2 linked regions of the Ovis aries genome follow. The protein of the gene in region 1 binds, or shares a complex with, the protein of each later gene. Links are inferred from orthologs where the notes say so. Each region holds a gene or a part of one and is shown on either strand. Other genes may lie near its edges.

Region 1 (12,299 bases):
TGTCTGCACCTGGTCTTGTCACATGTGGGATCTAGTTCCCTGACCAGGGATGGAACCCAGGCCCCCTCAATTGGGAGTTCAGTCTTAGCCACTAGATTACCAGGATGTCCCAGGAAACCAAGTTCTTAAGGCCATGTTCTTTTGCCTTCCCAGTGCCCTACCTTGCCCAGTTTTCATAATACCTCTATGAAGTCTGTAACTTCAGTAGCCGTTTTCAAAGGTGACCACTGAGACTCAGAGAAGCGAAGTCACTTGCCCAAGAACACACACAGCAGCTGACTGACAGAGCTGGGACTCAAACCCACTCTGCTCAGTCCTAGGGCCTGATGTTCCACTGCTGGTGTCAAGTGAGCAGGTTGTGACCAAACAGCATGGGAGTGAGCCTGCTTTTTCCTTTTGGCTGCATTGCATGGCTTGTGGCATTTTAGTTCTGAACAGGTATTGAACCCAGGTCCTTGGCAGTGCGACCACAGAGCCCAAACCACTGGGCCAGCAGAGAATTCCTGGAGTGAGCCTTCTCAAGTGAGATGAAGGCCAGGGTGGAGTTGTGGGTCTCAGGGGCTTGCCTGGGGATTTGGTTCCTGGAGCTTAGCCAAGAGTACAGACCCAAAAGACCGTGGACACGACACACCTCAGAGGTTTCTTTGGAGTGGGCTGAGGAACATTTTCCCATTAGGGTACAGTAACTGACACACAGCACTTGTTCTGTGTCAGGCTCTGTTGTGTGCTTCTATGTATCTATACCTGAAAATCCTCACAACCGTAGAAGTGTGATTTTTGTGCTTCTTCTACAGTTGAAAAAACTGAGGCACAGAGAAGTCGTGTCACTTGCTCAAGGTCCCACAGCTACAAAGTGGTTGAGTTGCGATTCAAACCTGGAAGCAGGAGCAATGATAGAGGAGAGATAGGAGCCTCCAAACGTGAAACTAGATCTTCACACCCACCTGCACGTGTCTGGTAGAATCAACATATGGAAAAACAGAAGACAAGCTATTTGCATATGTGAGAGGGAAAAAAAGGTGGGGGGGATGGGGGGGGCACAGAGCGTACAGTATGTACCATTTGTGTAAAAAAAGAACAATGTCTTCATGCAACATTACAGAAGGAAAGGCACAGGAGAAAACTGGGAAAATTTCTCTGGCAGTGGACCTGAAAGCAGCATGGGAAGAATTTTTAACTCTATATGCCCTTACAAATTCAGTACTGTGATTACATAGCCAAAAATCAAAACTGAAAATTTACAAATTATGTTTATGCTTATATAAGCAGATTGACTTTAGGAGGCTGCACAAAATTAAAATTTCTAATGCCATGGCTTGTCTACAGTGGTCCTGAGGAAGGAGGGAACTTGACTACTCACCACAGGCCGAATGTGAATTTTTGTTTTCTACTGTTTGAATCAGGGAAAAATGCAGTACTCCTGGTGTGATGGATAAAGATACTGTGCTTAGTCACTCAGTCGTGTCCAGCTCTTTGCGACCCCACGAGGTGGGTGCAAAACAGAGGCAGCTCCCCTCACACTGTTGTGGAAGGAGCAAACTCCAAAATGTGGCCAGGATAGACATCGTGGGAGAATAAATTCTTTACAGGGAAGCTAAGGGAGCAAGGGGAGAAGCCAGCTTGCAGACAAACCGAACACCTGACACACACGTGCAGCCAGGTCCAGTGTGGGCCAAGGCTGTGCATCCGAGGGACAGGCCTGTTTACTAGGGTCCTTGTCCTTTTCCTGAAGAGTGGCACTGTCCCATCCACTACCACAGGAAGGTTATTTCTCCAAGTTACCAGGATTGCGTGTGACACACTGAAGCTTTGTGCACATCTGTGCCCACAGCCCTTGGATAAGAACCCTATACAGACCAGCTATGTTAATGAGGAAGGCTGGGGCAGGTGGATGGCAGCGCAAGGGGGTCTGTGACCCCAGTTGAGGCCAGGGCCAATTCTGCAATAAATATCATTCCTCATCCTGGAAGTGGTGATAGGGTCCCTCTTGGCTCTAATACTCCAGGGGTCACCTCCGAATGAGGATGGCCTCTCTGGGCTCGAAGCAGCTACTCCTCTAAGAGACCCATGGCTTAGGTTTGGGTGGAAAGCCCTCTAAGATCTGTGCTGTCCAATAATCACTGCTAGCCACCAGGGGCGGGTGCTGAGCACTTGAAACGTACCTGTAGCTACCAAGCAACTTTGTTCTGTTGAATCTTAAAGAATTTGTTTTAAAAAGAACATTTCCATCGCTGAAGAAGGTTCTCTGGGACAGCACTACCCTTAGATTGCTTCCAGTGGTTAAACTGTTTCAGTGGGAAGGGAAAGCCCTCTAAGGTTATGTTAAATATGGTTATTTAAGTTTCTACACCAGATATCTTGTAGCAAAATAGCAATGCAGTTTTTGGCCTGTGTAATTACTTACCTTATAATAAAACTAGTTCCTTAAAAAAAGTTACAAAGTAAAAGCAGTTTCAGTGGCCTGCAAATAGAGGGAGGGCAGGAAATAGGTCCTAACCAGGGTGGGGTGGCCCTGGGTTGGAATCCTAATCTGGTTTGGCCAGGGCCTGCCTGACACCAGCTTGTTCTAGCAAGAAAGCAGGGGTTGGGGGGGGGGGGGGGGGGGTGGGTGGAGATTAAGAGAGTAGGGCACACACTTCTTGGCCCCAGCAACCAGATCTTGCAAGACTGGGAAAGGATCTGTTTAACTTTGGCCCCAACCTTCACCAAAAAACAAGCTCTGAATCCACTGGGCTCTTCTGATGCCCAGATCCAGTCCGGCGGCTTTCTCTTGTTCACCCCATATTTAGCTCAGGAGGGCAACTTCTCTCCCTTGCAGAGGACTCCTACCTCCTGCCTGCCCCTCCCTCCCACCCACCCTGGCTGCCTCTGGAGGGCTGCCCCGACCCCACCCCATCCCATCAGCAGAACCCTTAAACAGAGTCGCAGGACCGCTCCCCTGAGGTTTAGCATCAGTCTTTAATGCTGTCACGCTGCACATTGACAAGTCACACGCTTTGGTCTTGTGTTGGCAGTGGCAACTTACAATGAGTCTAAAAGTCTGAGCACCAGACTGACCTGCAAGGAACAAACACTTGTTCCAACACCCCCCCGCCCCCCACCCCCACCAGGTTCTTTCTCAGTTCCATCATGGCCCTTTACAGAGAGCAGCAGCTGCTGTGGACCGGTTTCGTCTGACTGCACACCAACTTTACACAGAATTATAAAAACATATTTACAGGCGTTCCACAGTGCTCCTGTAATCAGAAGCAAAGACCCTTTTATCAAAAGGGATTATAGCTAGGGCTGTGCAAAATTCAAAAGGATCAGATCCTTTTGAGAGAGTCCAGAGTCCATTGAACAAAAAAAATGACCTGGGTCACGGGGAAATCCCAGGTGTGCCAATAGATTGCCTCACAGCAAAGGAAGGTGAAGATCTCTGTCTGGGAGCCTGGGGTCAAGACTCCAGCCAAGGTCCCCCACCCTTGAGGGAGAGGCAGCTGCACAAGTTACTCACTCAGTGAAGGCCGGCTCCCTTGGTCCTGCTGGAACAAGGGAGGTATTGCTTGTGGGAGCTGGCCAGGCAGTTCAACAACCAGAGTTGAGATTCTCAATTTGAGATGGCAAAAGAGAAGACGGGGTTTCTTAGGGGAAGGGCAAGATGGGGGAGACAAATACAGAATAAAACACGAACTGATCACACAATAGAAACTCAGGAGTGTACAGGGTCTGGTACCCATAAACGCAGGTCCACACCCCAGGATGTCTGCAAGCGGAGGGACTACAATAGGGGGATCAAGTCCAGCTGTGGGTCCGCGGTCTGCCTCTCCCCCTGGGCAGGGCCTGGAGAGGGAGGAGGGGGGTGCTGCCCACCCAGGAGGGCTGCAAGGACCCAGTGGGGCAGACTGCACTGCCTTTGCCTGCTGTCCCCACCACCTGCCGCCCTACCGCTCGAAAAACAACTTTAGTCTAGTGCACGACTTTGAAAGATTGTAATATATTCTCTGGAAAACATTCAGCAGTATGAAAGCCCTCCCTGGGCCCTCCCGCCCTCTCACGGGTCCACAGCTGGTGGAACGGTCAGGAAATCCTTGAGCTCTGGAAAGGTCCCTGGTCAGTCCTTGGGGAACACGGATTGACTATATCGGAAGAACCTGCTCAAGAACGGTTCTTGACGTCTGGGGAATCCTTTCAGGGAAGATCACTTCAAACTCAATAATGAGGTCCCCGCGTTTCTCGGGCGTTTTCGGGAGAGGGAGGCCTTCTCCGGGAACTTTTCGCCGCATGCCAGGCCTGATGACATCTTTGAACACAACGGGTATGGTCCTGCCGTCCAGAGTGGGGACATTCACTGTACAGCCACACAGAGCCTTGGAAAGCAAAGGGACAGCATTAGAAAGAGTAGCTTAAGGAGCTCACATCTTGCCCAGAGGCTGCTGACTGGAGGGTAAGCACCATCAGACCTCTGCAGCTAAGACCCTGCCTTAAGATCTACCCACGTCACCAGCACAGAAGCTCTGGAAAAACAGAGCCCTGGACAGTCTTGTCGCCATTGCACTGTCCAAGCCTGGCCGCACCAAGTGCCCAGAAACATCTGTCAAGCAAACACTGAACAGCATCACAAAGCAGCTTCTCTCTCCCCAGATGCTGCCCTGCCTAGTGCCTTACCTCCCGAAGGCTGATCCTGGCTGGATAAATGACATCAGAGCCATCTCTCTTAAAGATATTGTGTGGCTTGTCCTTTAAAACAAAGACAATATCGGCTGGAATGTTGTTTGAAGTCTGGTCTCCTTCCTTGGGGAAGGTGATTTTGGTCCCTTCTTTCCACCCCCGCTTCACTTCGATGGTCAAGATTTTGTCTTCATTGCGAATGCTCTTTCCGTCGGGGTTCAGCCGCTTATGAGAGATTTTCATTTTCTTGGTACAGCCGCTGTAGATCTCTTCAAGTGAGACCCTAAGGTCATGGGTGACGGGGGGATCTTGTTTCTTTCGGGTGGGCTCTTGGGCAGGGCGGGAGCGGCCAAAGTTCATGTTGGTGAAGCCACCCATGCCCATGGGGAAGCCAGAGAACGGGTCATCGATGTCCATGCCTTCCTCCCCGTTGCGCTGCCCAAAAAAGTTGTCAAAGGGATTTCGGCCACCGAAGAACTCAGCAAACATGGCATGAGGGTCTCCATGGAATGTGTAACTGAAGGAGGTACCGTTAGTACCACCGCTGCTCCCGCCGCTGGGACCACTGCCCTTCAGGCCTGAAACGCCAAAGCAGAAGAAATCAGATGGCGAGCTAGGAACTTAACTCTCCAGGAACTTTCCTTCAAGGAAAAAAGCTTAGGAGCCATTGGGGGAGGAATTTTTTTTAGCCTGTCAGGGAAGAACAAGGAAGAACTCCAAGCTTTTACCTCCCACTTGCAGCAGCAAAACAGAACCCCCACCCACTTATGGCAGTTAGTCCACTGTGGCAAGACAATGGTGAAGTGTTCAAGGTTTCAGATGGGCATCTCTTGGGGCCACCCAGGTCCTCACATCTGAGTAACTCATTTCCCTTGCACTGTTACAATGAGTACGGAAAACTAAGAGATCCAATGAAAAATGCTTACCCCGGATCAGTTTTCACTAAATGCTTACTCTTAAATTCCCTACAGCTAGAGACGTGTGGAGAGTAGTAAAAGGAACGTGAAACTGCAAATGCAGACTTTCAAATTCTCACACCCTGGCACTAACTGCCCCCATTCTCATGTAATTAGCCACTTCTTCCTGAGGACCAAGCCCAGCAACCTGCCTGAGTCATCAATGGGAGACGGGACAAGAAAGCTTTCTTTTTCCCTGAAGAGGGCTGGCCCCACTGTTCCCTGCACCTTGACGGCCGACTAGGTAAGCACTTTACAAGGATTACCTCACTCCACCCTCGGAGGCGCGGGAGGTCGCTCGGCGCCAATTGGCACCTCATTTGCAGGCTCACTACTCGCAGCCTGTGCCCAGGGCTCAGCCAGAGGTCCTGCCCTGAACCCCGGGGTGGCAGAGCCTCCCACCTCGCACAGGTGAGCCCAGGCCCGCAGCGCCAGCAGCCAAGCTAGGTCTCCGAACCCTCTCTTTCTGCACCCGCACCCCCGGACGTGGGTGGAGGCGAGAGCCCAGGGAGGGGCAGCCCCAGACATACTAGAAGCTTCTGAACAAGCAGCGCGGCCAGGGCCCCTCCTCCCATCGGGCGGCCGCCAATCCGAGGGCGGAGGCCCTTGTGGCCAGAGGGCCGGGGCTGCTTCAACCCCTGCGGCCGAGCACCCCCCGGAGATGCTGCAGCGAGGCCACCCTGCCTCGGTTTCTCCGCCTGTCAAACGGCGAGGGCGCGCCCCCGGCTGCGCGCGCGCACGCACCTTCCTCCCCGTAGCGGTCGAAGATCTCGCGCTTGCGCGGGTCGCTGAGCACGTCGTAGGCCTCGGCGATCTCCTTGAACTTCTCCTCAGCGCCGGGCTCCTTGTTCTTGTCCGGGTGGTAACGCAGCGCCTGACGGCGGTAGGCCCTCTTGATCTCCTCGTCCGACGCACCGCGGGCCAGGCCCAGCGTCTGGTAATAGTCCTTTCCCATTGCCCCCGCCTGCGGCCCGCCACCCAGCTGTCGCCGTCCCCCGGCTCCGCCACCGCCCCGTCCCGGACTCTATATACCCGTCCGGCGGAAGCTTCCAGAGCCCGCCAGCCCCCTCCAGAACCTTCCGCCCCGCCCCTCACGCGGCTTTGGCCAATCCCCGTCGTCCAGGCTGCGACGCGCGACATCCGGGGCGGGGCCGCGCCGCCAACGGCCTCCTGCGCGCGGCCCTGCCCCATCCTGGGCAACGCTTCTCAGCGGCGCGCGCCCCGGGCGGCGGAGGCCCCGCCCACCCTCCGCGGGCACCAATAGCGACCCAGGTTTTATTGCTTCCTGCAGCCAGGCAGGCCTTGCGGCCCGCCTCCTGTCTGGGTCAATAGGTTACGACGCGCTACTGTAGGAAGGGGCGGATCTGGGGAAGACACCACCCCGTCACAGTTCAGTTCAGCCTCTCATTCGTGTCCCACTCTGTGTGACCTCACTGCAGCACGCCAGCTTTCCCTGTCCATCACCAACTCCCAAAGCTTGCTCTAACTCACGTCCCAACGAGTGGTTGATGCCATCCAACCATCTCATTCTCCGTTGTCCCCATCTCCTCCTGCCTTCAATCTTTCCCAGCATCAGGGTCTTTTCCAGTGGTCAGTTCTTCGCATCAGGTGGCCAAAGTATTGGAGCTTGAGCTTCAGTATCAGTCCTTCCGGTGAATATTCAGGACTGATTTTTTTTAGGATTGACTGGTTTGATCTTGCAGTCCAAGGGAGTCTCGAGTTTTCTCCAACACCACAGTTCAAAAGCATCAGTTCTTCTGTGCTCAACTTTATGGTCCAACTCTCACATCCATACATGACTATTGGAAAAACCATAGTTTTGAATAGATGGACCTTTGTTGGCAAAGTAATGTGTCTGCTTTTTAATGTGCTGTCTAGGTTGGTCATAGCTTTTTTTCCAAGGAGCAAGCGTCTTTTAATTTCATGGCTGCCGTCACCATTTGTAGTGATCTTTAGAGACCAAGAAAATAAAGTCTCTCACTGTTTCCATTGTTTCCCCATCTATTAGCCCCTTCACTAGCAGATGCAAATATGCCCGCCCCTATCTCACAGGGCCAGGAATGAGTTCCTGCCAGGTGTCTCTGGGCGGTGTGAGTTGCCTAATTTTCCCCAGCCCGACACCCGCTTCCTTCTGGAAATAAAAATAGTCACCCGCCCTGTTCTACCAGCTGTGTGTGCATGCTCAGTCATATCCAACTCTTTGCGAGCAGAATGCAGGTGGGAGCTCCAGTACTATCTGCGTCCTCAATCATAAAGGACCCTGCAAAGCGAGGTGAGCACCGGGAGCCAAAGTTCACCTCCCTGCAGACGTCTTCTCAGTCCAGCCCTTCAAGCCTCTCATTTTACCGTTTTCTCAAGGACACCCACCACTGAAATCTGAAATTGTTCCTTGGTTTTCATGTTAAATGTCTCCTCCGCTCCTAGCCTGGAATCACCGTAAAGTCAGGGACTGGGTCCTGTCAGTGCTGAGTCTCCAGTGCCAGGAAGTGTCTGGAACCAAAGCTTCGTAAATATTCCTGGCTGTTTTTATTTTTATTTATTTATTTTCATATGCATGGTTAGTGTTTTATTCTTTGAAATGGTTCTGAAACATCACGCTAAGTCAGGTTGAAAGGAAAAGTTTAAAATAGTTTTGTACGGATATAACATGTACTGACTGTTCACTCTACAAAATCTTGATCATAGAGCTTATGATACACTTAGTTTGCAGCAGCACCCTGGTTTCCAGATAGTCATTATTTCTCTCTTGTTTGCATAGACTTCTTATCATTGGCTGCCTTCTGCTTTTGTTGCATGATCTCAGAGTCCCGCTGCTTCCTCTGAGAGGTAGTCAGGCTATCCTCTTTTCTTTTTCCTTTATTAGTTTCCTGGGATTTCTTCATGTTTTTCTGGCAAGGAAGTTCTCGTTGATTTCCACCTGCCCGACCTTTCAGGCGGGGCCAGACTCAATTGCCCCTCTCCCTCTGCGGACTAAAAAGTCCTGGCGGTTTTTAATGCATCTGGTTCTTTACCCCCACCCCACTGCCTTCATGATGTGGGGGAGACATGGGCATGCAATACACCTCTCAGGGCCTCAATATCTTCATCTCTGGGCAACATCATCCATTTTGGCTCCTACAGTCTGGGGTGTCTGTGGTCAAGGACAGGGCTGACGCGGAAAGGAGGCTCAGAAAGAGGCACCACCTGAAAAGGGAAGAGGGGAGTAGGTGGAGGTGGCCTACAGAGGGGAAAGGTTCTTGGAAGAACTGCTTGGGAAGTCTGGGTGGTGTGACACTGGTGCTGGAGCCAGATAGTCACGTTTCATTCTTGGTTCCAGCACTTTCTGGCTGTGTGATCTTGGGCTGGTTACTGAGCCTTCCAGGGCCTTTAGCTTCCTCATCTGTACAATGAGGGTAGTAGTTGTACCAGCCTTATAGGGCTTTGAAGTTGACATTGAGTCAACATTTGTCAAGTGCCTGGGACAGACCTAGCTTAGAGGAAGTTCTGTAAAAGGGGTGACTAACTGGTTGAATGGTGGGCTGCTGAGGATCCCCCTTCCTGGCAGGACCACAGCAAAACATTTCTGGTAACCACTGCCCTTGTGGAAGCTGGAACTCTTGAGAAAGACGCCATGGCCTTACGGCCATCCCTGGCCACTCCCTGACCCCAGTGTAACTCTGTCAGTAAGGGATTCCCTGGTAGCTCAGTTGGTAAAGAATCTGCCTGCAGTGCAGGAGAACTGGGTTCGATCCCTGGGTCAGGAAAATCTCCTGGAGAAGGGAATGGCAACCCACTCCAGTACTCTTGCTTGGAAAATCCTATGGACAGAGGATCCTGGTGGGCTACAGTCCATGGGGTCGAAAACAGTCAGACAGAACTTAGCGATTAAACCACCACCATCAAAGGACTCTGGACTAAGCCACACACACCAGCCAACATGGGAGGATGAGTCTAGGCTGGATACCCAAGGGCACAGCACTGTAGGGGTCCTGAACCAATCATGGAGGAGAGGGAGTCCGATTTTTTTTTATAAAGTTACATAAAGAGATAGTGGGAGAGTCATCATGGGGGGAAAAACCCAGAGCTTCTGGATTTCTTCACACATATAAATTTAAGGGTTACAGATGTGGGGACTTCCTTGGCAGTCCAGTGGTTAGGATTCTGCTTCTAATGCAGGGTGAATGGGTTCAGTACTTGGTCAGGGAACTAAGATCCCACATGCTGTGTGGCCGAAAATTAAAAAAAAACAAGGGAGTTACAGATGTGGGGACTTTTCTGGCGGTCCAGTGGTTAAGGCTCCCTGCTTCCACTGCAGGGGGTGTGGGTTTGATCCCTAGTCGGGGAACTAAGATCCCACATGCCACTTATAAACCCACCCTAAAAAAAATGTTAACAGATGTGGAGGCCTCTAAAGGTCTTCACATAGCTCTGGTAGACCAGCAACATCGTGCAAGGGGTGTCCTTGTGTTTGGGGGCAACCTTAGGGCTGGGAAATCTCCCTTCCTTGAGTAAGCCTGGGTCATATTCAGGAGGTTTTAACTGTTTAAGCTCCGCCCTCCCCACCCCCCCAAAAAAGAAGAGCCGTAACTCAACTGCTCTTATTATGTTCTTTGACCTGGACACATACTCACAGGGCACTGTTTTTTTTTTTGTTTCCCAGCCAGGCTGAGTGGCTTGTGGAATCTTAGTTCCCCAACCAGGGATTGAGCCTGCACCCTGGGCAATGAAAGTGCAGAGTCCTCGCCACTGGACTTCCAGGGAATTCCCTCACCAGGTACGTTGGAATGTTACTAGAAGAGTGATTTTCACAGAAACTTAGCAGAGGTTTGAGCTATCAACTCAGAGAACAGGAGACAATGTGATGGGTAGTTATATGCATAGACTTGGCTAGGCAGTAGTACCCAGTTATTCAGCTAAACACTAATCTAAGTGCTGCTGTGAAGGTGTTTTGCAGATGTGGTTAGGTTAACATCTATAATCAGTTGGCTTTAAGTACAGGAGATGACCCTTGATTTTGTGGGTAGACCTCATTCAGTCACTTGAAAGGCTTTAAAAGCAAACACTGAAAGACCTTAAAAGCAAATATGGAGGTTTGCCTGAGAATGAAGCATTAGTTCCTGGCCAAGACCTGCTGGTCTGCCCTACAGATTTCACACTTGCCTTGCCAGCCCTCACAATTGTGAGAGCCAATGCCTGAAACAAGTCTCTTAATACACAGACACACTCACAAACACATATATCCTATTGCTTCCGTTTCATTAGTAGAACTAAGAACTAAGAATATAAGAACTAAGCAGGTCAGTCTGGAGTCAGTCAGCCTTAGTTGAGAACCTGGACCTGCTGTTTGCTTATTTACTGCCCATGTGATCTTGCCCAACTTATTCTCTGTAATTGCTAAGTATGTCCTCCATAAAACTGGGATAAGAGTAGATCTTACCTCCCAGGGTTGCTATGTGAATTTGAGAGGGCCAGGCAATAAACCTTATAATAATAGCTAACACTGACAAGGTCCTACTCTGTGTCAAATCGGTTCCAAACACTCAATGTGTATGAACTCATTTCATCCTGATAATAATCCTGTGAAGGGCTTCCCTGGTAGTCCAGTGGTTAAGAATCTGCTTGCCAGTGCAGGGAATATGGGTTCCATCCCTGGTCCGGGAAGATCTCACGTGCCGTGGGGCAACTAAGCCCGAGAGCCGTAACTACTGAAGCCTTGTGCCTAAAGCCCATGCTCTGCAACAAGAGAAGCCACCACAATGCGAAGCCAAAGCTCTGCAACTAGAGACAGCCCGAGTGGAGCAATGAAGACCCAGCACCGCCAAAAAGAACTTCATTAAAAAAGATAATCCTATGAGGTTGGATTACCTCATTACCTCTGTTTTACAGGTAGGGAAGCCAAGGCTCTGAGAGGTTACATGACTTGCCTAAGGTCACCTAGTGAATAAAATGCTGAGGTGTAAACTGTTTAGCATATTGAGTGTTTATGGTAAGCACTCAGCTTGTATAAGATGTGATTCAGATGATGATAAAGCCTTACTTTTTTTTTAAAAAAAAAAAGCATCACCACTCTTTTCAACTCTTCTTCATCAAAAAGAACTTCAAAAGCATTACAGTCATATAAGCTAACAATCTGCCCTGGTGGAATGCCCATGTGAAATAAAAACCTATGTTCACATAAAAACCAGTGAGCAAATACTTACCAAGGCTTTATTTGTCATTACCAACAGCCATTTAAACCTGAATGTCTTTCCGTGGGTGAAATGTAAACAAACTGAATACTATTCAGTCATAAAAAAGGATTGAGCTATTGACACAGGAAGCAATGCAGAGGAACCTCAAATGCATTATGTTAAGAAGCCAGTTTCAATCGTCTGTGCACTGTGTGACTCCATTTTAAGGAGCTTCTGGGAAAGGTAAAAGTATTGATGCAGAAACTGGATCAGTGGTTGCCAGGGGCTGGGATCTTTGACAAAGGGAGACGGGAATTTGGGGAGATGATGGAAATGTTCCATATCTTGACTGCGATGGTGGTTGCATGACTATTTATTCAGAACTATACAGCAGAAAAGGTGATTTTTACTGAATGTAAACTATATCTCAATAAAAAGAAAATACATCCCACGAATTTAAAAATTCAAAAGGCAGAAAGGTTGGGAAACTTCTCTCCGGTGTTCCTGACACAGTGGAAAGTTGCAAATCAGCCCTGGCTTATCT
Region 2 (10,295 bases), on another chromosome or scaffold:
AGGGATGTGGGAAAAAAAAGGGTGCTCTTCAGACATTGCTGGTAAAAGTGAATTATAGTTCTTTTTTGTTGTAAAAGACGCTCAATATCACTTGTCATTAGAGAAAGGCAAAAAAAAACCACAGTGAAATGTTGTCACCTCACACTCGCTAGGATGGATTCTGTTGGAAACCCCCAGAAACACCAAGTGTTGGATAAGGTTGTAGAGAAACTGGGACTTGTGTGCACTACCAGTGGGAATTTAAAATAGTGCAGCTGCTGTGGAAACGGTATGGCAGTGCCTCAGAAAATTGAAAAACAGAGCTACCATGTGATCTAGCAATCCCATTACCCCCTGAAATCGGAGGCAAGATCTCTTTTTTTTTTTTAATTTTTGGCTGTGCTGGGTCTTAATTACTGTGTGGACTTTCCTCTCGTTCGGCGAGTGGGGGCTACTCTCTAGTTGTGGAGCATGGGCTTCTCGTGGTGGGGGCTTTTCTTTCTGCGGAGCGTGGTCTCTAGGACAAGTGGGCTTCAATAGTTGCAGCACGTGGGCTCAGTAATTGCAGTGCCTAGGCTCTGGCGCCCAGGCTCAGTGGTTGTGGTGCATGGCCTGAGTTGCTACGCAGCATGTGGGATCTTCTTGGATCAGGGGTCAAACCTGTGTCTCCTGCCTTGGCAGGTGGGTTCTTTACCACTGAGCCAGCAGGGAAGCCCTGGAAGCAGGATCTTGAAGAGAGATTTGCACACCCATAGCAGCACTGTTCAAAAGAGCCGAAAACTGGGAGCAGTCCAAGCATTCATTGATAGATGAATCAACAAAATGTCATATATCCATGTAGTATAATATTTGGGCTTCCCCGATGGCTCAGCAGGTAAAGAATCTGCAGGAGACACAGGAGATGCAGGTTCAATCCCTGGGTCAGGAAGATCCCCTGGAGGAGGAAGTGGCAACCCACTCCAGTGTTCCTGCCTGGAAAATTCCAAGGACAGAGGAGTCTGGCAGGCTACAGTCCATGGAGTTGCAGAGTCGGGCATGACTGAGCACACACATACATACATATTATTCAGCCTGCTAAAGGAAGACAGACAAGAGCACACACTGAGTTAGTCCATTTATATGAAGTTCTAGAACAGGAATGGGTCTTCTCCCTCAGACGTGTTCCCCCCACTCCATGGTCAGGTCCAGGACCTCGTGCCTTTGGGTTTAGCTTAAATATCTCAAGAGTCTTCCTTGGCCAGTCTGGTGGCACCCACTCTTTACTCTCCTGTCACCCACGCTAGGTCAGGGAAAGCTGTGTTCAGGTATGCCCACCGAACACTCTGGGGGCCTCCCAGCCCTCCTCACCCATTCCTCACTCTGCTGGGCTCTGGTTCCCAAAGACATGTCCAGTGACAGAAGCTTGACTCTGACAGCCTGCCAGTTGGCACCCTGAGTAATCTCGTGGGGGTCTCTGCCTGGGCCTGGGCCCGGGTAAAGCCGGTGGGAGGAGACTGGGAGGAGGGGTCAGAGGCTGCTGTGACTGGCCTTGACTCTGCCTGGTGGTTCAGCTCTGCCCTCATCTGCCCTCCAGGAGCTGGGAAGGAACAGGACGAATGGGACGTGGTTCACTGGAGCTGGGAGAGGGGGCGGCCCGCTGCTGCCTCCCTTGGCCACTGGTTAGCAGATGGCCTGAGTTCAAGGTCTCCCTGATTAGAGTGGAACAGCCTCTGCTGGCGCAATTGGGCCATGACCAACCCCTTCTGTTGACAGCACAGTGGCCTTCAGGTGGCTCATTTCTTTCCTAGACACACCTCATTTTGTTAACCCATTTGGTTTCGGGGTGCCTTTGGTGCCCTTTAGCCTCGAAGAGTGTGGAGCTACTGTAATGTGGCATGAAGTTGGAGGTTTGAGGGTAACAGGAAGCATTGGCACCCAGTGAATGAAAGGCCGCAGGGCATTTGGCAGAACCCTAGGCCTAGGAGCCCATGGCTGACTTCGGTGACTCTGGCCCCACGTGGTTCCCCTCAACTCTTGCAGATCCATTTCCCTCTAGCTCTGGCTCAGAGATTCTTGAAAGATGGTTTGTTGACCACTGATCATGTGGCGCGTGTCCTGTGAGGGCTCCTCCAGGTGTGTGGGTTGACACAGAGTTGGGTTTCTTAAGTTGGGTAAATTCCTGAGTCTGGCAAAGGAGAAGAGGTGAAATTGAACAGACACTTGAGCTGGTCCTGGAGGATAAGAAGCTGTTTGTGAGGTGATCTGAGAGTAGAGGCAAGGATATTCTAGGCAAAGAACAGCTATGTAAGACTGCTTTTAGAAATAATACGATAGAAGCACAGAGAGATGACCTCAGGGTCGCGCAGGCAGAAGGAGTAGGCCAGGATCTCAGATGTAGGTGTGACTCAAGTATGCATGAGAATTGGCCAGGAGGGCCTGTCAAAAGTGCAAATTGCTGGGCCACACCCCTGGGATTTCTGATTCAGTAGGCCTGGAGTAGAGCCTGAGAGTCAGCATTTCTAACAAATTCTGGGTGATGCCAACATATTCTAGGGATCAGGGAACCACACTTCAGGAGTTTCTGATGTAAAACATGAGGTGTAAGCATTCTTCCGGTCATTATCTTCATAGCAGAGAAGGTGCTTCCCCACCAGTTGACCCTGGGTTAGCCTCCACCAGGCAGGGGGTGTTGGGCAGCCAGCAGTTTATGTGCAGTTGGTTTGTGGCTAGGACTGTGCCAATCTCTTGACAAGTGTCATGTGCAGTCTTCGTGACAGCCGATGAAACTGAGGCTTAGAAAGGTCAAAGTTGTTTCCTTGTCCAAGGCCACAGAGCCAGACCCTGTGGTAACAGTATTGGGGTCGCTTTTGGGCCACAGAGGCAGGCAGCTAGCACAAAGCAGGTTAGAAGCATCCTAGGAAGGCGTCGTGGGAGAGGATGGATTTGAAATTGATAGCTTACAGGCCGAGGGGAGGAAGACGCTGACCTTTTCCCTCCAGAACGCTCTTTCTGGCCTGAGAGCTGAGGAAAAGCTTCTCAGAGGGGCTGAGGCTGGAGTTCTCCTGACAGCTTCACTCTGCTATGAGGGACTTTCAAAGCACTTATCATTTGGTCTGCCCGACATTCCTGCGAGGTAGGGACTTACCCTCGCTGATAAGGGCTCTGAAGCTTCCCGGGGATCTTCCCATCCCAGGGATCAAACCTGCATCCCTTACAGTGGCAGGTGGATTGTTTAACCACTGAGCCACCAGGGAAGCCCATTAACACCATTAATAGGTTAAGGAATTTGCCAAAAATAAAATAGCTAGTGTGTGACAAAGCTGGATTAGAATGCAGGTTGTCTAACTTCAGTGTTGGCTCTTATTCCCTGGACTGCCTTTTTTTTTTTAAGTGATTGCTATTTATTGAAGCAGATACTTTGCAGGTATTCTCATTACAACTCAATGAGATAGATGTGTATTAAATCCCATTTTAAAGATGTGGAAACTGAGGTTCTAAGTGCAGTGCCTTGCCCAGGCACTCAGAGATGGGTCTGGCTTCATGTCTTGGAACGTGTCTTCTCCCTCGATGCCTCTTAGTCTTCTCTTCCTTCCTCAGCTTATCACACAGACCTTCAACCACCACAACCAGCTGGCACAGAAGGCCCGGCGGGAGAAGCGAGCTCGGCAGGAGACTGAGCGGCGGGAGAAGGCGGAGCGGGCAGCCAGGTTGGCCAAGGAGGCCAAGTCAGAGACCTCCGGGCCCCAGATCAAGGAACTGACTGATGAGGAGGCTGAGAGGCTACAGCTGGAAATTGACCAGGTAGGAATGGGCTTCCCTCCCCTGCCCCATGACCCCCATGGACACTAGAAGTGGGGCCCCTCTTGCCAGCTGTTTTCCCGTTTGCCACAGAAAAAGGATGCCGAGAATCAGGAGGCCCAGCTCAAGAATGGCAGTCTTGGCTCACCAGGGAAGCAGGTGAGATGGACTGGAGGGGTTTGGGAACTTCTGGAGCTCTTGACCCACTCCCTTTCTCTGGAAAGCCCACCCCACCGTTCCCTTAGCTTTGGGAATCCTCCTCATACTCCAGGATCCCACATTGGACCAAAGGGGGTTAAAAAAAAGACTCCAAAGCTCACTGGCTTAATTTAAGCCTTGGCAGGAAAGCCAGAGAGACAGAGATGGGCAGTGCTGCACGGACACCATGAGGGTGGGCTCGGGTCTGTGGTGGGTTTCTCTGACACGCCCAGGGCATGTTCTCCTCAGGGCTCCCCCTGCTCCCACGGAATCCTTGGGGACATTCCTTTAGCTCTTCAGAAGTTCTAGTCTGAGGCTGGGTCCCCACCTTCCGAACGAAGCTGACCATTTGGCAGGCTGGTTTTCCTTTAGAGCAGCTCTGCTGGCGGCCGCCTGCTGACCTGCTCTGGGCTGGGCTTCCTTCCAGGTCCCTTGGCTGGGTCCCCGGGGTCTGTCTCTGACTGCCGCCTCCCCTCAGCTGCCCCACACTCTCCCCATCTGAGCCCCTCTCAGCAGAGCCGGCAGAGAGCCAGACAGGTTTTACCTCTGCCTCGCAGTGGGCCGTGGGCTGTGCAGGGACCTGGTCTGCTGTGTTGTCTGTGGCTGTATGTGCCGTGCCAGCCAGTGGGGTTCAGTCTGGGTCTGTCAGGGAAGTAGCTGAGCTCCCCAATTGTGAGCAGGAGGCCGAGGAGGACGAGGAGGAGGAGGATGAGAAGGACAAAGGGAAACTGAAGCCCAACCTCGGCAATGGGGCGGACCTGCCCAGTTACCGCTGGACCCAGACCCTGTCGGAGCTGGATGTGAGTGTGGGGGCTGGGGCGGCAGGGAGGGCGCTGGCCTGGGGCGCCCCCTGACTGCTCCTGCCCTGTGCAGCTGGCCGTGCCCTTCCGCGTGAACTTCCGGCTGAAGGGGAAGGACGTGGTGGTGGACATCCAGCGGCGGCATCTCCGGGTGGGGCTCAAGGGACAGCCAGCGATCGTGGACGGGGAGCTCTACAACGAGGTGAAGGTGGAGGAGAGCTCGTGGCTCATCGAGGACGGCAAGGTGGTGACGGTGCATCTGGAGAAGGTGCGAAAGGCCCCGCCCTCTGTCCTGATTGGCTGTTTCTGAACTTGGGGGCCCTGCTGGGGGCCTGATGGGCATATCTTATTTCATCCCCACAATAAGACTTTGATAGTAGGTCTGCCACATTTTAGAATCAGAAAAAGGGCAGCCCAAGAGATCTGCCCAACTTCTGCCTCTAGAAGAGGGTGGAGTTAAAGATCCGGGTTGTCTTTAGTACCAAAGCCTTTTCCTTTCCCTTAGGTTTTTGTTGTTGTTCTACCAGCTTATTCGTACCAGCCCATCTCCCTCCACCCTCATGCATGCATGCTCAGTCATGTAACCCCATGGACTGCAGCCCGCCAGGTTCCTCTGTCCATGGACTTTTCCAGGCAAGAATACGGGGGTGGGTTGCCATTTCCTTCTCCAGGTCCATTAGGTTTTTTTCTGGTTTTTATTTTGGGTCTGAATTTTTATTATGGGTCTTAGTTGCCATGTGCGGGATCTTCCTTGTGGCATGTGGGATCTTTAGTTGCAGCACATTGGACCTAGTTCCCTGACTAGGGATCGAACCTGGGCCCCCTGCCTTGGGAGTTCAGAGTCTTAACCACTGGACCCACCAGGGAAGTCCCTCCATTAGGTTTGTATCAATACAAGCATTCAGTTCAGCAAATACTTGAACACCTACTCATGCCAGAGACTGTTCTAAGTGCTGGAGGGAAAACAGTGAACCAGACGTAGAAAGCTATGCCCCTCTGGAAGCCCGCGTTCTCCCCTCTCAGAGAACTGGGATGCAGACCCCAGTAAGTGAACATGGGCTCTGTGAAGCGCCAGGGTCCAAGGAAAGAGTCCCATGGCATGTACTGCCTGGCCCAGCCTACCTGACCCCCTTGGCTGCCTCTCACTCACCCCTCTGTGCCCTTGCCCTTGCATTTCCTCCCACCTGGAATGTCCTTCCCTGCTTTTTAACGTGGTTCACGCGTGTCGTTTAAGGCCCAGCCCTGTGTGTCATCCGAACCTCTCCCTCCACCTGATGAGTATCTCCCTCTGTACTTTATTCTTTCCGTTATCATGCTGACTGTCTCCGTGTCTGTCTCCCCCAGCCACCGGGGAGGGCAGAGGTCTTGCCTCTCTGCCCCTAGGTCCCAGTTCAGGCCTTGTAAGTCCCTGATGCAGGATGTGGCTGGGAGAGAGTTTGGTTCTGGAAGAGCTGGGGGGTGGTCACCAGGGTCCAGAGTGAGCCACCACCCGTCCCCGGGTGGCCCTCCTCTTCCTCTCAGATTAACAAGATGGAGTGGTGGAGCCGCTTGGTATCCAGTGACCCCGAGATCAATACTAAGAAGATAAACCCCGAGAACTCCAAGGTGAGCCCAGGCTGCTTGGAGGAGCTGCGGTCGGGAGGTTTGGGGCCTGGGTGGCCCCAGGCCTTCACCCACCCTGTCACTGTCTGCCCCCAGCTGTCAGACCTGGACAGTGAGACCCGTAGCATGGTGGAGAAGATGATGTACGACCAGAGACAGAAGTCTATGGGGCTGCCTACCTCCGATGAGCAGAAGAAACAGGAGATTCTGAAGAAGTGAGCGATGCAGAGATGGGGGTTTGGGGGAGGTGTCTACGGCTGGGACCTGGGTGACAGTGGCAAGTGTTTACTGAGCAGAACACAGGAGCTGCCCCGCCCCTTCCAGGATGAGCCAGCCAAGTTTATGGCTTTATAGCCTTGGCTTGCCTCCCCTAATCACTTACTGAGGTCATCTTGAGGGCAAGGCCACCACAGGATAGGAAAGGGTAACAGGCGGTCACAGTTTCCAACAGAAAAAGCAGTGCCGGTGTTGGCACCTCAGCATCCAGCCTTGGGGAGACCTTGGGGGCCCCACTCCTGTCTGGCATGGCTCCGGGTTGCTGAGAGCTGTAAACAGATGAGACCTCATGTTGGAGGCTGAGAGAAAGGGACAAATTTAGGGAGACGGATGGCCTGTCTCACCTTCCTGCTTTGTCTCTGCAGGTTCATGGATCAGCATCCAGAGATGGACTTTTCCAAGGCCAGATTCAACTAGCCCCTGTGTTTGCTCCCCTGAACTCTCTAGGCTGAGCTCCCGGCTCCCCACTTTCCTCTCCCACCCTCCCTGGGACTGGTGGGCCACAGGGCCAGGGCAGGCACGGGGCTGGCTGGCACACACAGGTCCCAGGCCATCATGGGAGAAGGGCTGGGGCCTTGGGGGGGGGTCTTGTCCTCCTCAGCTGGCCTGCTGTTACACATTAAAACCATTTACCCAATTCCACTCACGTCTTCTCTTCCCTCTGGCCTTTCTCTGGGGTTCAGGCCTCTTAGGACTGCTGCTGTGACCTGGGGGCTTGACTGCTCACCCAGGCTCTGCTGTGTGATCTAGGGCAAGTCTTTGCCTCTCCCTGGGCTCAGTTTCTCATTACTTAAATAGAGGATCCCGACAAGGCTTTTAGTCTGTGTATGATTTTGAACAAAAGGGGTTGGTTATAGGCACCAAACAATGTCAGATTCTCCAAGGGGCCCATGACTCAGCAGCACTTAAGACCAGCCTGACTTGATTTCCATTTTCATCTCTGAGACAATTTCCCACTGCACTGGGTCTGTCCTTTAGTCCTGGAGCAAGTGTTTCTAAAACTATACACTACTTCCCAGAGGCAGAGAGCAAGCAGCAAAGCCTAGGGGCACCGCCTAGGCCTCAGATGGGCTTTGTGTGTGGTGGGGATCTGGCTGGGAAGGCAGGGGGAAGCCCAAAGGAGCCTGTTGTGTGTCTTTGACCTGGACCCTTGCAGATTTTAGGGCTTCTCAGGAGTGAGCCACTGAGGCTGGAGAGGTGTTCTCTTTTGCCCCAGTCCAGCCACCAGAGCTGACCCTTGCCCCGCTTTGGCAGGAAGTACAGGTCACAGTGCAGAGTGCCATAGAGGTTATGGTAACAAGACGAATGGGTTCACTTGCCCAGGGTGCTATGCCCTATGAGCCACGGGTGACTCCTGAATTTCTGGGACACAGCGTATGTGTCCTTTTGGCATCTCAGAATAGCTTGTTAAAGACTTCAGCTATGCAGTATTTGGCTTTGTCTGTTTATCAAACTTACCCCTTTTTCTGGGAATGCCAGTAGTGGTTCCCAAGGCTGAGCTTAGATAATGGGGCTCAAAAAAACTTTGGCCCCAGAGGCCCATTTTCTAAGCTCTCAGATTGCTTCTTGGCAGGAAAGCTGTGACAAACCTAGACAGTGTATTAAGGAGCAGAGGCATCGCTTTGCTGACAAAGGTCTGTATACTCAAGGCCACGTTCTTTCCAGTAGTCATGTATGGATGTGAGAGGGGCACCATAACAAAGGCAGAGAACCAAACTTAGGTGCTGGAAACAACCCTTGAGAGGTCCCTTGGAAAGCAAGGAGATCAAAACAGTCAATCTTAAGGGAAATCAACCCTGAATATTCTCTGGAAGGACTGATGCTGAAGCTGCAATACGATGGCCAGCTGATGTAAACAGCTGACTCACTGGAAAAGACCCTGATGCTGGGAAAGATTGAGGGCAGGAGGAGAAGGGGACAACATGGATGGTGTCACCGATGCAATGGACATGAACTTGGGCAAACTGGGAGATGGTGAGGGACAGTGAGGCCTGTCGTGCTGCAGTCCGGGGAGGCAAACAGTCGGACACACTGAACAACAATAAGGGCCAAGGCTAAGGTGGAGGGGCTGTAGCATGACTCTGCTCTGTCCAGTGATATCCCTGGGCTCCAGTGCCCCACAGTCATTTTCCTCACCATTAAAAAAATTTTTTTTGGTGGCCACACTATGCAGCATGGCATGTGGAATCTTAGCTCCCTGATAGGAATTAACCCGTGCCCCTTGTAGTGAAAGTTGCTCTGTCATGTCTGACTCTGTGACCCCATGGACTGTAGCCCGTCAGGCTACTCTGTCCATGGAATTCTCCAGGCAAGAATACTGGAGTGGGTTGCCTTTCCCTTCTCCAGGGGATCTTCCTGACTCAGGGATTGAACCCTGGTCTTCCGCTTTGCAGATAGGTTCAGCCACCAGGGAAGCAGTGGAAGTGCAGAGTTCTAACTACTGGGCTGCCAGGGGATTCCTGGGCTGTGGTTATTTTCAATCACAGAGGGCCATGACCTGGATGGAACAGCAGAGCCTAAGGAGGGGGCAGCTGTGTCACCGGTACTGAGCCTGCGGTCATGGCCACAGGGACCATCCAGTGTGTCCAGTAGGAAACTGAACAGACACACAGTTTGTCTAGTCAGCTTCCAAGGGTGTCCCTGAGGATAGGAGAAAGGGTGGTGGGGGCGGCTGCAGGTGAAGTGGGGCAGAGAGGGGCCCCGGACACCTAGCTTTATCAGTGGGACTTGGCCATCGGGCCTGCTCTGGTCTCACTGAGGACAGACACACCCCTGTGTGTGAGGAGTGGCAGGAGCCTAAAGAATCCGCCTGCAATGCAGGAGACCCTGGTTTGATCCCTGGGCTGGGAAGATTCCCCTGGAGAAGGGATAGGCTACCCACTCCAGTATTCTTGGGTTTCCCTTGTGGCTCAGCTGGTAAAGAATTCGCCTGCAGTGTGGGAGACCTGGGTTCGATCCCTGGGTTGGGAAGATCTGAAGAAGGGAAAGGCTACCCACTCCAGTATTCTGGCCTGCCGAGGTCCCAAAGAGTCGGACACGACTGAGTGACTTTCACTTTTCTGAACCCAGCTGAGCACTGATGTCCATACAGGGGATCTGGCTTCTACCCCACGTGGGTCAGTTTGCCAGCTTGGGGGCAAAAGTGCCAAGAGGCCAGCTTCTGGGTACAGAGCCACAGTTACTAGTATGTGACCCTCTTAACTCCTTAATGCACCTGAGCCTCAGCTCCTGTGAAATAATGACCCCACCCTAAGAAGACACCAGGGATGCTCGGTGCTGTTGGCTCCAGGGAGAGACGGAGGGAGCCGCAGGCCTGAGGCGGGGTGGGTGGGGGCCGGGTTTGAGGAAGCTGCAAGGATGGCCAGAAGCGGCCACATGTGGGCAGTATATTGGGGCAAAAGGCTTGCCTAGACGGACCTCTCAACCATGACAGAAGCCACTTGATAAATCCTTCTAAGGTACAGACCCTGCACTTGTCTCGATCTGGAACTCAAGGTGAGGAGTCTGAGAGACGGGCCTTACCGCTCTCAGTTTAGCCTTCTGACCTCAACCCCACGATACTAAGCCAGGCTGGATGCTCTGCATGGTCTGCTCCAGACAGCAGTCAGGCAAATGCGACAGAAAGGACAGCATGACGGCCAAGATGAGCAGACATATCTATTA

Evidence for each region.
Region 2: the proteins of DNAJB1 (region 1) and NUDC are in contact, whole or in part, in a crystal structure (PDB 7NDX), measured with the Homo sapiens proteins. The link is inferred for Ovis aries from reciprocal best matches to the Homo sapiens genes DNAJB1 and NUDC. Residues at the interface, in NP_006136.1 of Homo sapiens: His166, Lys181, Lys182, Met183, Lys184, Ile185, Ser186, Asp201, Lys202, Ile203, Ile235, Phe237; in NP_006591.1 of Homo sapiens: Pro102, Gln103, Ile104, Lys105, Glu106, Leu107, Ala112, Leu115, Gln116, Ile119.

What each region holds. Positions count from the first base shown.
Region 1 is NC_056058.1:9,584,609-9,596,907, reverse strand, and holds DNAJB1 (dnaJ homolog subfamily B member 1), read right to left. Parts: upstream 6,610-12,299; 5' UTR 6,562-6,609; coding exon 6,351-6,561; intron 5,229-6,350; coding exon 4,648-5,228; intron 4,350-4,647; coding exon 4,119-4,349; 3' UTR 2,940-4,118; downstream 1-2,939. Other genes in the region: small EDRK-rich factor 1-like, read right to left, coding at 8,342-8,552, 8,725-8,789, 8,956-9,039. UniProt on the Homo sapiens protein: Interacts with HSP70 and can stimulate its ATPase activity. Stimulates the association between HSC70 and HIP. Negatively regulates heat shock-induced HSF1 transcriptional activity during the attenuation and recovery phase period of the heat shock response.
Region 2 is NC_056055.1:239,998,438-240,008,732, reverse strand, and holds the end of NUDC (nuclear migration protein nudC), read left to right. Parts: intron 1-3,555; coding exon 3,556-3,759; intron 3,760-3,849; coding exon 3,850-3,915; intron 3,916-4,634; coding exon 4,635-4,754; intron 4,755-4,827; coding exon 4,828-5,022; intron 5,023-6,275; coding exon 6,276-6,359; intron 6,360-6,452; coding exon 6,453-6,571; intron 6,572-6,997; coding exon 6,998-7,049; 3' UTR 7,050-7,274; downstream 7,275-10,295. UniProt on the Homo sapiens protein: Plays a role in neurogenesis and neuronal migration. Necessary for correct formation of mitotic spindles and chromosome separation during mitosis. Necessary for cytokinesis and cell proliferation.